Canis lupus familiaris: one gene and its partner. The protein of the gene in region 2 interacts with the protein of the main gene of each other region in a biochemical or structural test. Links are inferred from orthologs where the notes say so. Each region holds a gene or a part of one and is shown on either strand. Other genes may lie near its edges.

What was found.
Region 1: the proteins of CCNA1 (region 2) and MYBL2 form a complex in vitro, tested with the Homo sapiens proteins (2 studies listed by BioGRID, with this or other methods). The link is inferred for Canis lupus familiaris from reciprocal best matches to the Homo sapiens genes CCNA1 and MYBL2.

Annotation. Positions count from the first base shown.
Region 1 is NC_049245.1:32,002,921-32,008,431, reverse strand, and holds the end of MYBL2 (myb-related protein B), read right to left. Parts: intron 5,042-5,511; coding exon 4,937-5,041; intron 3,627-4,936; coding exon 3,477-3,626; intron 2,659-3,476; coding exon 2,530-2,658; 3' UTR 2,121-2,529; downstream 1-2,120. UniProt on the Homo sapiens protein: Transcription factor involved in the regulation of cell survival, proliferation, and differentiation. Transactivates the expression of the CLU gene.
Region 2 is NC_049246.1:4,260,539-4,267,374, forward strand, and holds the start of CCNA1 (cyclin-A1), read right to left. Parts: upstream 4,075-6,836; 5' UTR 4,003-4,074; intron 3,552-4,002; exon of another isoform or gene 3,297-3,551; intron 2,895-3,296; 5' UTR 2,871-2,894; coding exon 2,706-2,870; intron 175-2,705; coding exon 1-174. UniProt on the Homo sapiens protein: May be involved in the control of the cell cycle at the G1/S (start) and G2/M (mitosis) transitions. May primarily function in the control of the germline meiotic cell cycle and additionally in the control of mitotic cell cycle in some somatic cells.

The DNA of each region.
Region 1 (5,511 bases), on a different chromosome or scaffold from region 2:
CGGGATCCTCGGGCGCGGGCTCTGCCTCCGCCCCCTCCGCTTCTTCTGCAGGCCGGGTTGGCCCGCAGATGCCAGGCCAGTCTGGATCTTGCCAGAACGCTCACCCTCTGCCGTCCTCACCGAGCCCCGCCTTTCCCGCCCACCGTCGTCTTCCGCGCCCCCTCCCATGAACTCCGGTGCTCAGCACCTCTGCACCTGGCTCGACCTGCTTGTCACACCTGCCCACGAAACACTGGGCCCCGGATCCACCTGGACGACCCAAGTTGCGGCCACTGGAGCACCGTGTGCCCCACACTCCGGGACCACACCGGCTGTCAGCACCGACTCTGGCGATCAGTACCCCCCACCCACTCGGGCTCTCTCTTGCTCCCCATGGTGGCCAGGGGCTGCGGCCAGCCTTCACTCAGGCCTCCGGAGAGCTTCCTCCTAGCAGGCCGCCTGGCCCCCATGCCATCCATTATTCCTTTCTCCCGAGCCCCTTACCTCTGGCATGTTGCATATGGATGTTGGCTTATAGCTTATCTGTCCTCTCTAGAATCTAAACCCTGTGAGCATAAAGTGGTTTGGGAGAGTCTTGGGGTTAATTCCTGTATCCTCAGCACCAGAACCACGCCAGGCACGGGGGGGGGGGGGGGGGGGGCATTCTTGATGCCTGTTCATTTAATGCAGGAAGCAGAGAACAGCTCCAGTGCAGAGTTCATGGGAGGTGGCAAGTTAACAGGTTTGCAGTTAGCAGGGCTGCCTCCCAAGGAGGACAGGAAAGAGCCTCAGGACAAGCTTTGGGTGTTGGTGGGAGAGGCAGTCTGGAGCAAGCTCTGGCAGAAAGCCTCTGGTGGGTTATAGGCCAGCTCACTGAGGTGCAGCCACTGACCACGTGCCTAGGAATCATCCGTAGGAGCCTATGATCAGCTCCAGGGTGAGTTGTCCCAGAGGCTTGCTGTACCCGACTTTAATGCTGGTGTTCTATAGACTGAGTTGTCTGTGAATCCTGGAGATGAAGATCCCCTGCTCCCCAACCCTCACTGGAATCAACCATCAATGCTGACAGCCCTGCAGGGAACAGTCAGTGATGGAGCCGGGGCCCTGCAGGTCACCAAGGGATAGAGGACAGGGGTCCAGGTCAGGAAATCAGCATAGGCACAAGGGCATGTGGCAGGTATGGCCCAGCTAGACTGAGACTGGCTCAGCTACACAAGCTGCAAGGAAGCAGAGTGGGAGCCCTAGTCCCTGGTCTCATTCCCAGGCCTTGGCTCTGGAGCAGGAACCAGAACTTAGCCAGGCTCAAACTGAGCACAACTTTGTGAAATGGCTCGAGGGCCACCCAGAGCAGGGGGTGAGGTGGGTCTCTGCCATGCTGACAGGACCCCCTGTGCAAGTTCAGCACGGCAGGGTTCACTAGACCTGAACCCTAGTGTCCTAACTCCCAGTCTTCTTTAGAGGGGGCTCCCAGCAAGAGGATCTGTCCCTAAGTGTCTCTCTTGGGAACCAGAGGCACTAAAGCAGAATCTAAAGATAGGCAAGTACCCATCCAGCCCCCAGACATGGCCACATGCCAAATGGCCCCCAGACATGGCCCCCCACATGCCAAATCCTATGAGCCCCCCCCCCCCGCTGAACACCTCCCTGTCTAGACCTTCTCAAACCTGGCACCTACCCCACTTCAGTGCCTAGCTTCAGCCAAGTGGCCCACTGCACCCTGACCAGGTGGACTGGAGCCCAAGGTCTGATTGCTGCCATGGCCTTGGCAAGTTGAGGCCACTGTGGTAAGTTCCGGCCAGCTGCCAGTCACTCCTTGTTTACCAGTCTCACCTGGTGTCTAGGCCTATGGCAGGCCAGGTCAGCCATCCATGGCCAAGCAGGGTCCTGATGCACCTTCCCCTCCCTGCTAACACCCAAGAATCCTCAGAACTTTGAGACAGCCACTAGGTGATCAAACTGCCCCCAGCACACTGGACCTTTTGGGGGAAAGTATGCAGAGCCCCAGCCCTGGGCTGTGCTCTGAGGATGAGGATCCAGATCTCCATATCCCTCAAGGCCCCTGTGACAGTCACCAGGGAACCAACCCAGCGACCAGGAAACCACAAGCAGGAGACAGGAGAAAGGTAGAGTCTACAACAGCATTAAGGAAAAAGGGAATTTTATTCTTTCAAGAAAATGTACTAACAGGTAGAGGGAAGGAGCATGCTGGCCACATCCCCTGTTCTAAGCAGGGGTCTGAGATGAGGCCAGACCCAAGAAGGGCTCAGGAGGAGCTAAGGGGACTCCCTGTGGCACCGGGGAGAGGACCAGGCAGGCCCAGGGGTGGGACTTTGTTCTGTTAGCACCAGGAACCACCGCAGCCACAGCTGGACTCGGAGACAAGGCAGTGGGTGGCCCTGCTCTGCCTCCACCTGAGCAGTCTGAGGAGGGGCTGGTGGCAGAAGGCTCCCTGCAGGTGGCCATCCGAGTATGATTCTCAGACTCACAGACCAACCTCAGTCCCCCCAGCCCCCTGTAAACATAAGAATGAGCTCGTGACCACCAAGCCCCTCAGGACAAGATGAGGGTCCGAGACGTGTGGCTGGGCTTCAAGCGACCCAGGAGCTGCCGGGCTTTCTCTTGCATGAAGAGCTGGTCCCTGGTCCCCCCGCAGGCCACCGTCTTCCAGGCGCTGGTCATCTGGGAGGAGGCAAGAGAGTTACCATCCAGGCAGGGGCAGCAAGCTCCCAGCAAATGCTGTGATGTGAGCATGGCCAGGAGGAGTAGGGGGCATTTCTACAACTCTCGGTCTTCTTCAAGCCACAAGTCTTCTTGTGGTCCCTCCAACTCCCTAGTGGCCCTGGAGAAGTGACTCCTGTTTCAGGGCTTCCTTAGGTATACAGCAAAGAGGTTGGACCGGCAACATGGCTGTGCCCCTGCCCATGTGGTGCCAGCCTCCTCACGAGGAAAAGTTACAGCCAAGCAGGCTAGTGGGAAGGAGCAGTAAGAAATTCATGAAATATAGACAATGAGGTATGAGCAGCCAGGGCAGCCCCTACCCCTGAGGACAGACATGTGCTAAGCAACTAAAAACGGAGACCATGACTTAATTACAAGTGAGGTGACACCATAAAAGGGCTCACAGGCGGGGGGGGGGGGGACGGGGGGGGACGGGGGGGACTCCTGGGTGCCTCAGCAGCTGGACATCTGCCTTCGGCTCAGGGTGTGATCCCAGGGTCCAGGGATCGTGTCCCACATCAGGCTCTCTGTGGGGAGCCTGCTTCTCCCTCTGCCTGTGTCTCTGCCTCTCTGTGTCTCATGAATGAATAAATAAAATCTTAAAAGGGGGGTAGAGGCTCTAGCAGATGGGATCCCTCCCCAAGGGGATCTGGAGCAGTGTCCAGACTGAGATCTGAAGTGTAAACTAGTCAAGCAGAGTCTCAGAAGGGCATCTGGGCACGGGCAACAAATAAGCAAAGTCCCCAAGGGTAATAGGACATTGGTGGCCAAGCACTCACAGGGGCAGGTGTTGGAAAGTGGCTTCGGGGCTTCTGGGCAGCCACTGGCTTCTCCGGTTTGGCCTGCAGGAAGCCCTCGTTGAGCAGACTGGTGTCCTCTTTGATGCCTGACACCATGAGGCTAGAGGAACTCGACAGGACATTTGTGGGCTGCAACAAAAACCAAGCCAGACTCACCCTTCTGCCATAAGCATGATGGGAAAGAAGGAAACCAGTCACATCCCAGCACCTCCACCTCTGGGCTATAGGATTTGGAGCAGGACAGTAACTTCTCTAAGCCTGTGCCCCCTTCCAGATGGGGAATTCTCTGTAAAGTGCCCGTTTCAGAGACTGACAACTAATAGATGCCCAGTAATGCTGCTCCCCTTTTACATGGACATGGTCTCTCCCACCACAGCCTCAGGCAGGGTGGGGGTGCTCTAGTTTCTCCTAGGACTAGAAATCTCTACAAGCAGTCAGATGCTGGCATCAACCAGCACACACATAGAGCTACACAAAGCACCCACCACCCATCCAGCCTCCCGGCTCTGCTTGACCTTTACCCTAAAGGTAAAGAGTCACTGGGCTCAGTACAGTGAAAGGCAAAGGCAAGAACCTGAGGTTTGGGTAAACTAAGAGATCCTAAAGAACAAGAGCCAGCATTAGGACTTTGCAAGGTCCACTCCACCCCAAATCCTGTGCTCTAAAGTACTTGCCAGAGCTTTACTACTGAGCAAGTATGTTACATGCCCAGTTGCAGGTCTGTTGCAGGTCTGGCTGCACAGCATGAAGTCCCCAGCCTGCTGGGGCTCCCTGCCCAGTGATGCTTCTCTGCGAGGGCTATGGCTGCAGCAGTCCTAAATCCTCAGATGTGCAGGATCTGATCAGGCAATCCTTTGTCTCATGCCTCCCACCACCCCTCTCACTGCCTCCCACTGGGCAAAACCCCCCACTGTCAGCTGGGAGGGATCAACAGTGTGGTGTGCTGTCCTGAGGGCAGGCTCTGTGTAGGCAACAGCCCCATTCCTGAGCTCAGCCTGGAACTAGACAGCACCGTTCCCAGGGCTGATGTGTCCCAACCACCTGGCCGTGCACATCACCAACCCTCTCCACATCACCCCCATGAGAATAGAATATGACAGAAGGTGCTGGGGACCCAGATCCATGGTTTTCCAATGTGTTCCAGCAATGCAACTCTAGCAACGCAATAAACCCTTCTGTGAAAGACACATGCACAGCTGCCTTGACTGAAACAAGGGGTGGGTGCCCAGCCCCAATTTCTCCATCAGCCCCTTACAGCTGAGCCTGACACCCAGAGCCCCATCCAAGAACCCCAGACCACTCCAGCGCCAGGGTCCCCTCACAGCTAAAGGGTTCCAAAGCCAGAGGACCTCCAGGGAGAGTCTATCCTCCCTGAGGCAGAGGTGCCTTCTGCAGTTCTGGGCAGGGGGAGCCAGGGCAGCTTCTCTCTGACCCCTTACCAAGGACAGCACCTTGGGCAGTGTAGACATCACCAGCTTCACATCCTCATCCACGATGTCCAGAGCCAGGGACTTGCGGACCTTCTTGATGGGGCTCCGCCGCAGCTAGGGGTGGGGAGGAGGGAGACAGAGCAGACAGCTGGGATTCCTCTAGGTCACCACTAGCACTTTGGGGATGCCTGCCCCAACTACCCTGGTCACAGGTCTATACCCTGATGCAGTGGAGCCTTCGAGCCAGGCCCCCAGCTGACGAGGTTTGGGGGAAGGGAGGGGTGGATGTATGCATGAGGACCAGAGGACCCTGGCCCCATCAGATTTAGCACCCAGGACAAACCATCCTGCCAGATGCAACCACAGGGAGCCAGGACACAAATGCCTCCACCCAGAGACCCACTCCTCATTCCCAAATGGATCATGCACAGTTCCCAAGCCTCTACCACACCAAACGCACCCCTAAAGAGGCCCAGGATAGAATCATCCAAGTTACACCTCAAGTACCCACCTGCAGACGAGAAACACATACATAAAACCTGAGGAACACGGGCCTGTTACAGGAATACCTTGCCCCACACCTG
Region 2 (6,836 bases):
TGCCATCCCCTCTCTCCCAGTGCAGCTGTCTCTGTCTCCTTGCTCAGCCTCATCCATGTAGATATGAAATCCTTGTTTGGCTGGCACCTGGACCCTGCAGTCAGAGAACACTTTCTTTCCAGCTGGAGGGACGACATTTTCTGATCCAGAGAAGCACCGGATTGTTGTGATCCCCTGGAAGAGGATTAAGTTTTTTGTGAGAGGCCACCCTGAAGATAGTATAGGTGATATGAGCTTGTGTGACCCAAGCCAGCAAGCCAGAAAGATGCGAACAGGCTTAAATTGAAATATCTAGGTCTGCAATTTAATTTCAGAAAATGAAGCTTCTGAAATATGACTTCTCCCTTATCTTTATCTACATCTAACATTTGGGAAAAGAGCTACCTATAATTTGTCATCTTCCTCATATATCTATCAAAGGAAACTCAAGATTATAGAAAAAAAAAGAAACCATAGCTATCCTCCAAAATGAGGATAGGTATTGCATGGGTGAGTGGGTAGAGGGAGATTGTTAATTGGCTTTCATACTTCTAGCCTATAGGATTTTATAAGTACCTCTTGATATATAGTCACTGAGTTCCTACAGTCTTCCTCCTTAAACAGCTTTCAGTAAGTAAGTGCCTATAAAGTTTCCATTTTATACTCAGATATTTAGAAACATGATTGTTTTAGAAACTCCTACCATTAACTTCTCTTACAAAGCCATAGAATCTCTTGTATGACATAATGTCCCTTGAGGAAATCTATCAGAGATAAAAGTATGAGCACAGGTAGATGGTATTTAATGCTAAGAGGCTTGAAAGTTTGAAAGGGAGTGAGTGCATATTCAGATCAAATACCAAGTCCTGGAGCACTCTTTTAGATATTGAGGAAGAGTGGCCAATGAGCAAGGTGGAAAACCAAGAGAGTATGGTTCTCCAGGCCGAGCGAGAAGAAAGGATTTCAAGGAATAAAGAATAATCAAATGTGTCAAAGGCTGCTGGATTAGTCAAGTAAGGAATGGACAAAAAAAAGGAGTCAAAAGAGAATAAGAGAAGAATTAAAGACAAGAGAGTATTCGCTCAACAAATCTTCACAAGCTACCCTGGCCAAACACTGTTCGAAGCACTGAGAATACAGCAGTGAGCCTCAAATCCCAATCCTCATCCTGATGGGAGTTTATGATCTAGCAGGATAAACTCTCGAATTATTGGCTGTAAAATGAACAGTCACTGCTTTGTAGTTTAAAGGTTTTAAAGATGGAAAAAGAATACAATATATTTATATGCTTATGAGTTTGACCAGTAGACAAGGCTGAGAAAGGAGAGTTCTCAACATCCCTGAAGAAGCAAGAGGACATGAGGTATACTACATGTGTGAGAGTCACCCTGCCTGAGAGCAGGGAAGTGTAAGTCATGTAGCAGGGTGGGGATGGTAGGGTATATGGCACGTGGGAACGTGCAGAAATTCCCTTTTGGTTCCTTTTATATTTTTAAGATAACAGGATCACAAGGCCATCAACTGAGAGTAAGGAAGGAAGGTAGAGGTTTGGGAGGATTAAAAAGAAATCTATAAAACAGATTTCTGAGAAGTTGGTAAAGGAATAGAGCAGGGGAATGGAGAAGTAGTGCTAGGCAACATAAAAGGTTAACTAATAGTTCTGAATTTAAGTTAAGCCCGGGCTCACTGGGCAGAACTGATGATTCGTAAGAACCAGGTTTCAGATTTTCCGTTTTAAAAAAGTAAATATTGCTAAGCAAATTAAGTTTGTTAAAACCACTTTCACTTAATTTCACCCCCCTCCTCCGAAAGCTTTGAAGAGATCACTTTGGGTATTTTTCTCTCCACTGATCAGATGCCACCAAAAGGCAGATACCTTGAGTGGTCAGTGGATGAAGGGCTCTAATCTGGCCTCTACCCTTTTTTTTTTTCTTTCTTTCTTTCTTTCTTTCTGACCTTTCTTAAATCTTTGAAATTTTCTTACCTATTAAATGGGAAGAATTCTTGACCTACCTACTTCACTAGACTATTGCCAGCATGATTCCATTACAGGTGTAAAATATAAGCTTAAGGCATCATTCTGAGCGGCCTAATAACAGACTAAGGGAAACTTTTTTCTACCCCAAAATTCAGTCTTAAGGATCCAAATCCCTTGTTTTGCATTTTAGGTGTCTGATTTTGTTTCTAATCTATTCAGGGAGTCTATTCACCTACCTATGATGAGTCCAGCAAAAGCAACTAATATCTATTATCCATTTGCCCACCTGCCTTTTTTCACGGACTGGGGAGATGTCTACTTTCAAAACACACTTTCAGAAGTAATTTCATCTAGCCGTACCCAATCTGTAGTCTAACACCACTTGCAACGAACATAGTAAAGCATAGCAAATTCAGGTTTGCTTCAGGCACAGTCTAGATCAGTCTGAACGCCACTCTGCTCTGGAGGAACCCCCAGTTCCATAGTTTATTTTGGTGTGTTAACACTTGCTCTTGGCCCAGCACTTACATGGCTTTACATGTACTTAATTCAAATAGTTCCTAGACCTGTTTCCTTGATATTATTGGAAAAATAATAAATTATTCACTCTTTCTAGCTGAAAAAGGGGACCAAAGTCAGTGTCCCTACAGTCCAGATTCCAGGGCTGCAATACTCCAGGGTATTCTAGGTCCGACTCCAAGAGAAACCCACCTCCTACCATGACGTGATGGCCCTTGTCACTCATTACCTGGCCACAGGTCCTCCCGTACTGCCCATTCTCAGTTAGCACCCCTAGCACTGTTCTTTGCGGGGGATCCTGGCCGAGTTGGGCTCTGGTTATCATCTGACAGGCATCGGGACCTCGAGACACCGGAGCTAGGGCTACTCCACTCTTGGAGCTGCTGCGATGCATACCCTCCGTCGCCACAGAATGCAACTATTAGGTAAGGAAAAAGAGACAACCCAATGGTTAGTCCACGCTCTTCCATCATGGGCTCCAAGCATGCAATGAATGTCTAGGAGGGAGAACACTAAAGCGTATCATCTTCTCTGCAATTGTTACTGCTGAAAGGAAGGGCAAGAGCCACGCTGCAAGGGATCCAAGCGCCTTTGAACCCAAACAGCGATTTGAATCTCTCAAGGCTTTCTTCTAAGACCTGACTGAGGCTGGAGGAAGAGATTAATCTTGACAACCTCCAAGCAAGGATACGGAGTCCGGCGTTCACTGGGGAGCCTACAGCTACAAGCCCGAGTCTTCGCCCACCGCGGCGGTGCTTCTCTCATCCTTTCTACCCGCCCCCCCCCCCACCTCCTTGCAAACAAAAGACCCGGTGTATACATCACTGCGGGAAGGTACGTCCCCTTCCCAAATGACAAGCAGGGTCCTCCTCCGCGGCCCTCCTTCCACCAGACACAAGGCCCCAACCCCCGACTGGAACTACCGCGGGCCTCGCTCCCCTCCGCTTGGCGTCTTTACATGAGTCTCCGACAATTAGCAAGTGCACACGAGGGCCGGGGCTGCGGGGCCGCCGGAGGGGGCGGGGACGCGGCGCCGACACGTGCCAGCGGGGGCGCCGGGCTCCCAGCGGCGGTGGCCGCGGCGCTCAGCTAATCACCTCCCCCGCGTCTGTTGAACCCGCCAATCGGCGGCGCGGCCAGGCCTCGCGGGGCCGCTTCCATGCCAACCGCAGCGGGCGGGCGCGCCCCGGGGCCGCCTCGCCATGACGACCCCCTCACCCGACGCGCTGCGGGCCGCGGCGCCGCGCCCCCGGGGGCTCAGGGCCGGGCGGGGCCAACGGGCGGCGGCCCCGGCTCCCCCTGCGCGGGGCGGGGCGGGGCGGGGCGGGGCGGGGCAGGGGGGCGCCGTCGGCACACGCGCGCTCCTGGAGGCCGCCGCCGGGCGGGGAGGGAGGCGGCCGCCCCGCGACGGCCCGGGCTCTGGAAGGGGCTCCCCCGGGCCGGTTCCCCCAACAGCCCTAACGTCTCCCCGGCCCCGGCGCCGGCGCCGGCCCCCGCCCCCCGCCCCCCGGCCCGCTCCTGAGAACCTTGGCTCAGGAGGGCGACGCGGGGCCCTCGGGGCTGCGCAGGCCGCGCTCGCTCCCGGCCGCGGCTCACACCTGCGCCCCCAGGGCGGCCGAGCAGCCGCGCCGCGGCCCCCGCCCCGAGCCCGCGCCTCCCGGTCGGCGGCGGCGCCTCGGCCCCGCCCATCCTGGGCCCTCGTGCGCCCGAGGCCGCCCCTGGCCGGCGCGATGCAGTGCGTGGGAGGCCGCCGCCGCCACAGGCCTCCGCACGGTTCCGGCGGGCGAGGCGTGAAGCGGGCCGGGGCAGCGAGGTGGGCCCGGAAGGGGAAGGAACGCGGGCGGCAGCGCCGGGCCGGGCCGGGCCGGGCCGGGTCGTCGAGGGGGCGGCGGCGGCCGTGGGGGCCTGGCGGCGGCCCGGCCTCGTGAGCAGGGGGACCCCGCGGCCCCGGGTGCGCAGACGGCGCAGGGCCTCGTGGTCAAATAATCGTCGTTACGGTTTCATGAATGTGTGTGTACACACGCAATACATTGCATGCGCGCTCTGCGTTTTGTTTTCTGAGTCTTCTTAAAACACGCATTCCTAAGTTTCTAAAGCAGACCCCCAAAGGCCGTTTAAATGTCCACTCTAAGGAATGGTTAGTTACCGCCTTCTTCCTGATTCCGAATGGAAATGATTGTCAATCTTACCCCCCCCCCCCCCAAAATCTTAAGTGTTCTTCATTAGTGAGCTTGGGATGCCGTTATTTCATGGGAAAATGGAAGTATTCTACAGAAAGTGCGATGAAAGCGTCTGATCAGTTAGCTGTCAAGGAAGTTGGCAAGCATCTTAGAAATCAGTGCCAAGTGCTGGAGGAGCACAGAAATTGATCTTGCTTAGGATGAAACTAACTTTTATCACGTTTATCACGTCTTGACCTCAGTGGGGAGCAGCAGTCCTCCTGCACCCCGGAATTCCTGTGCCTTTGAAATTGAAGGCAACACAGGGTCCCCGGTAACATCCTGATTTTGGCAACAGAGGAGTCAGGTGCAGGCAGCGACCAAAAGCTCTGCTTCGCAGGGTGCCTCTGCCTAATGGAAGAAAAGCAGCTTTCTGCACTCGCCCGGCAGGGGTTTTGGAAGTCTTCCAAGAGCCCTCCCCACCTGGCGACACTGTTGTGGCTTCTGAGGACGATGAAGGCCTCAAGTGGTGAGCTCCATCAGGGAGGGAGCAAGTCTGGCCTAGAGCCTTGGTGGCCTTGGCAGGTTCAAGAATTCTCTGCATTCATGTGACCCAACATTCCACTACGTCCTTTTTGATCTGGTTTCCTCAACAAAAAAATGATGGGAAACCCCACTCTGCCTTTCTTCCGAAACAAAGGAGCTAGTGCAATGTTTGTTACTGCACCTGTGGTTTTGGTTCTCTTCTCTGTGCTTGAAGCTTGAGCAGGGAAGGGGAAAGGGTAGCCCTGGGTTCCTGCAGAGGCAGCAGAGGCAGCCGGCTGAAGTTCAGTGTTCCGACCTTAACCTAGTCAGGACGAGAAGACCAGGCTACTAAGGTGTATAGTCTCACTCAGCTGTCTTGAGTCTGAAAACTACCTTTAAAAAAGAAAATAACTTTTTTAACAAGATGAGATCCTACCATCATTTCATAGTTCTTTTCCCTTAATACATATGAAATATTATCACTACATCTTACTATCCTCTCCTTCCACTTTGTTAAACTTGGCAAAGGAAAGTGATAATGGCTTATTTTACTGTGCTATCTTAGAAGTATTAAATCATTGCAGTCCTCCGGTCAGATCTTAAATTGGAGAGTAATTCAGATGAACTGATATTTATATATATGTTTATGTGTATGCATATAAATCCAAATATTTGTATAACATGCAATATTATGGCTTTCTTAAGTATTTGAACAAGTAAAGATGTATGTCATAAAAAACAAACAACTGATAAATAGGTGCACAATTTTCATTAAACATTTAAACGAGAAACAGCCTTATCATTTAGAAAAATAGCAGAGAGGATAGAACAGACTTTCTCATAGACTGTGCACTTTTAGTGAGCTGCACAGGTTTAATTTAGCTGTTACAGCAAAATCAGGATTAGAACTCAAAGGTCAATTTTAAATCTCTGCATGTTAAGGTATTGAGAAGTGAACCATACATTTAATTATAAATCTTTAATGTCTAAAATATTTGGGGAAAGTTACCGATATAACACTTTCTTAGCTTAAAAACAACGGGTCGGCACTTCTGCCTGATATTCCGTACTCAGCTAGCTTTGACACTGGGATTAATTTCCGTAATGAGGATGACAGCTGAATTCTTTACTAGGAATTTTGAAAACCCAAGGGTCCTGTTAAAATCACTTCCTCTCCCCTCTAAATTACAATTCAAAGACAATCTTTTCTGTTTGCCAGTAATTACCTGGCATTTCAGAAGCTGTTATTACTTCTATTACATTTGCTCATGGTAGCTAGTAATTAACCTCCTGTTCAAACATTTCAGTTTTCATTAATTTGTATGAAATCAAGTTGATTTTCAGCATAAGGCTGAAAAAAAGAGATGAAAAAGTAGAAGAGCACCCTTTTTTTCCCCAGGACTGAGGTCTGTTTAGGGACGTATTTTGCCTGTTTGTGGGCATACCACTGCCATTCTATATATTTAATATCAGAAAATAGCTACATAGTAAGGTGAGGGACAGATGTTGGGGCTGGTGGGCAATTTGTGACATTTTAGCCCATAGTTCCAGGGAAGATGACCAAAGGATCAAGGAAGTCCAATTTGAGAAGCAACCCCAAATATATAACCTTAGGAAGCCTATAGCCTCAGATGGTACGAAGTGGATCCCTTCATACGCAAGAATAACCAAAGTCT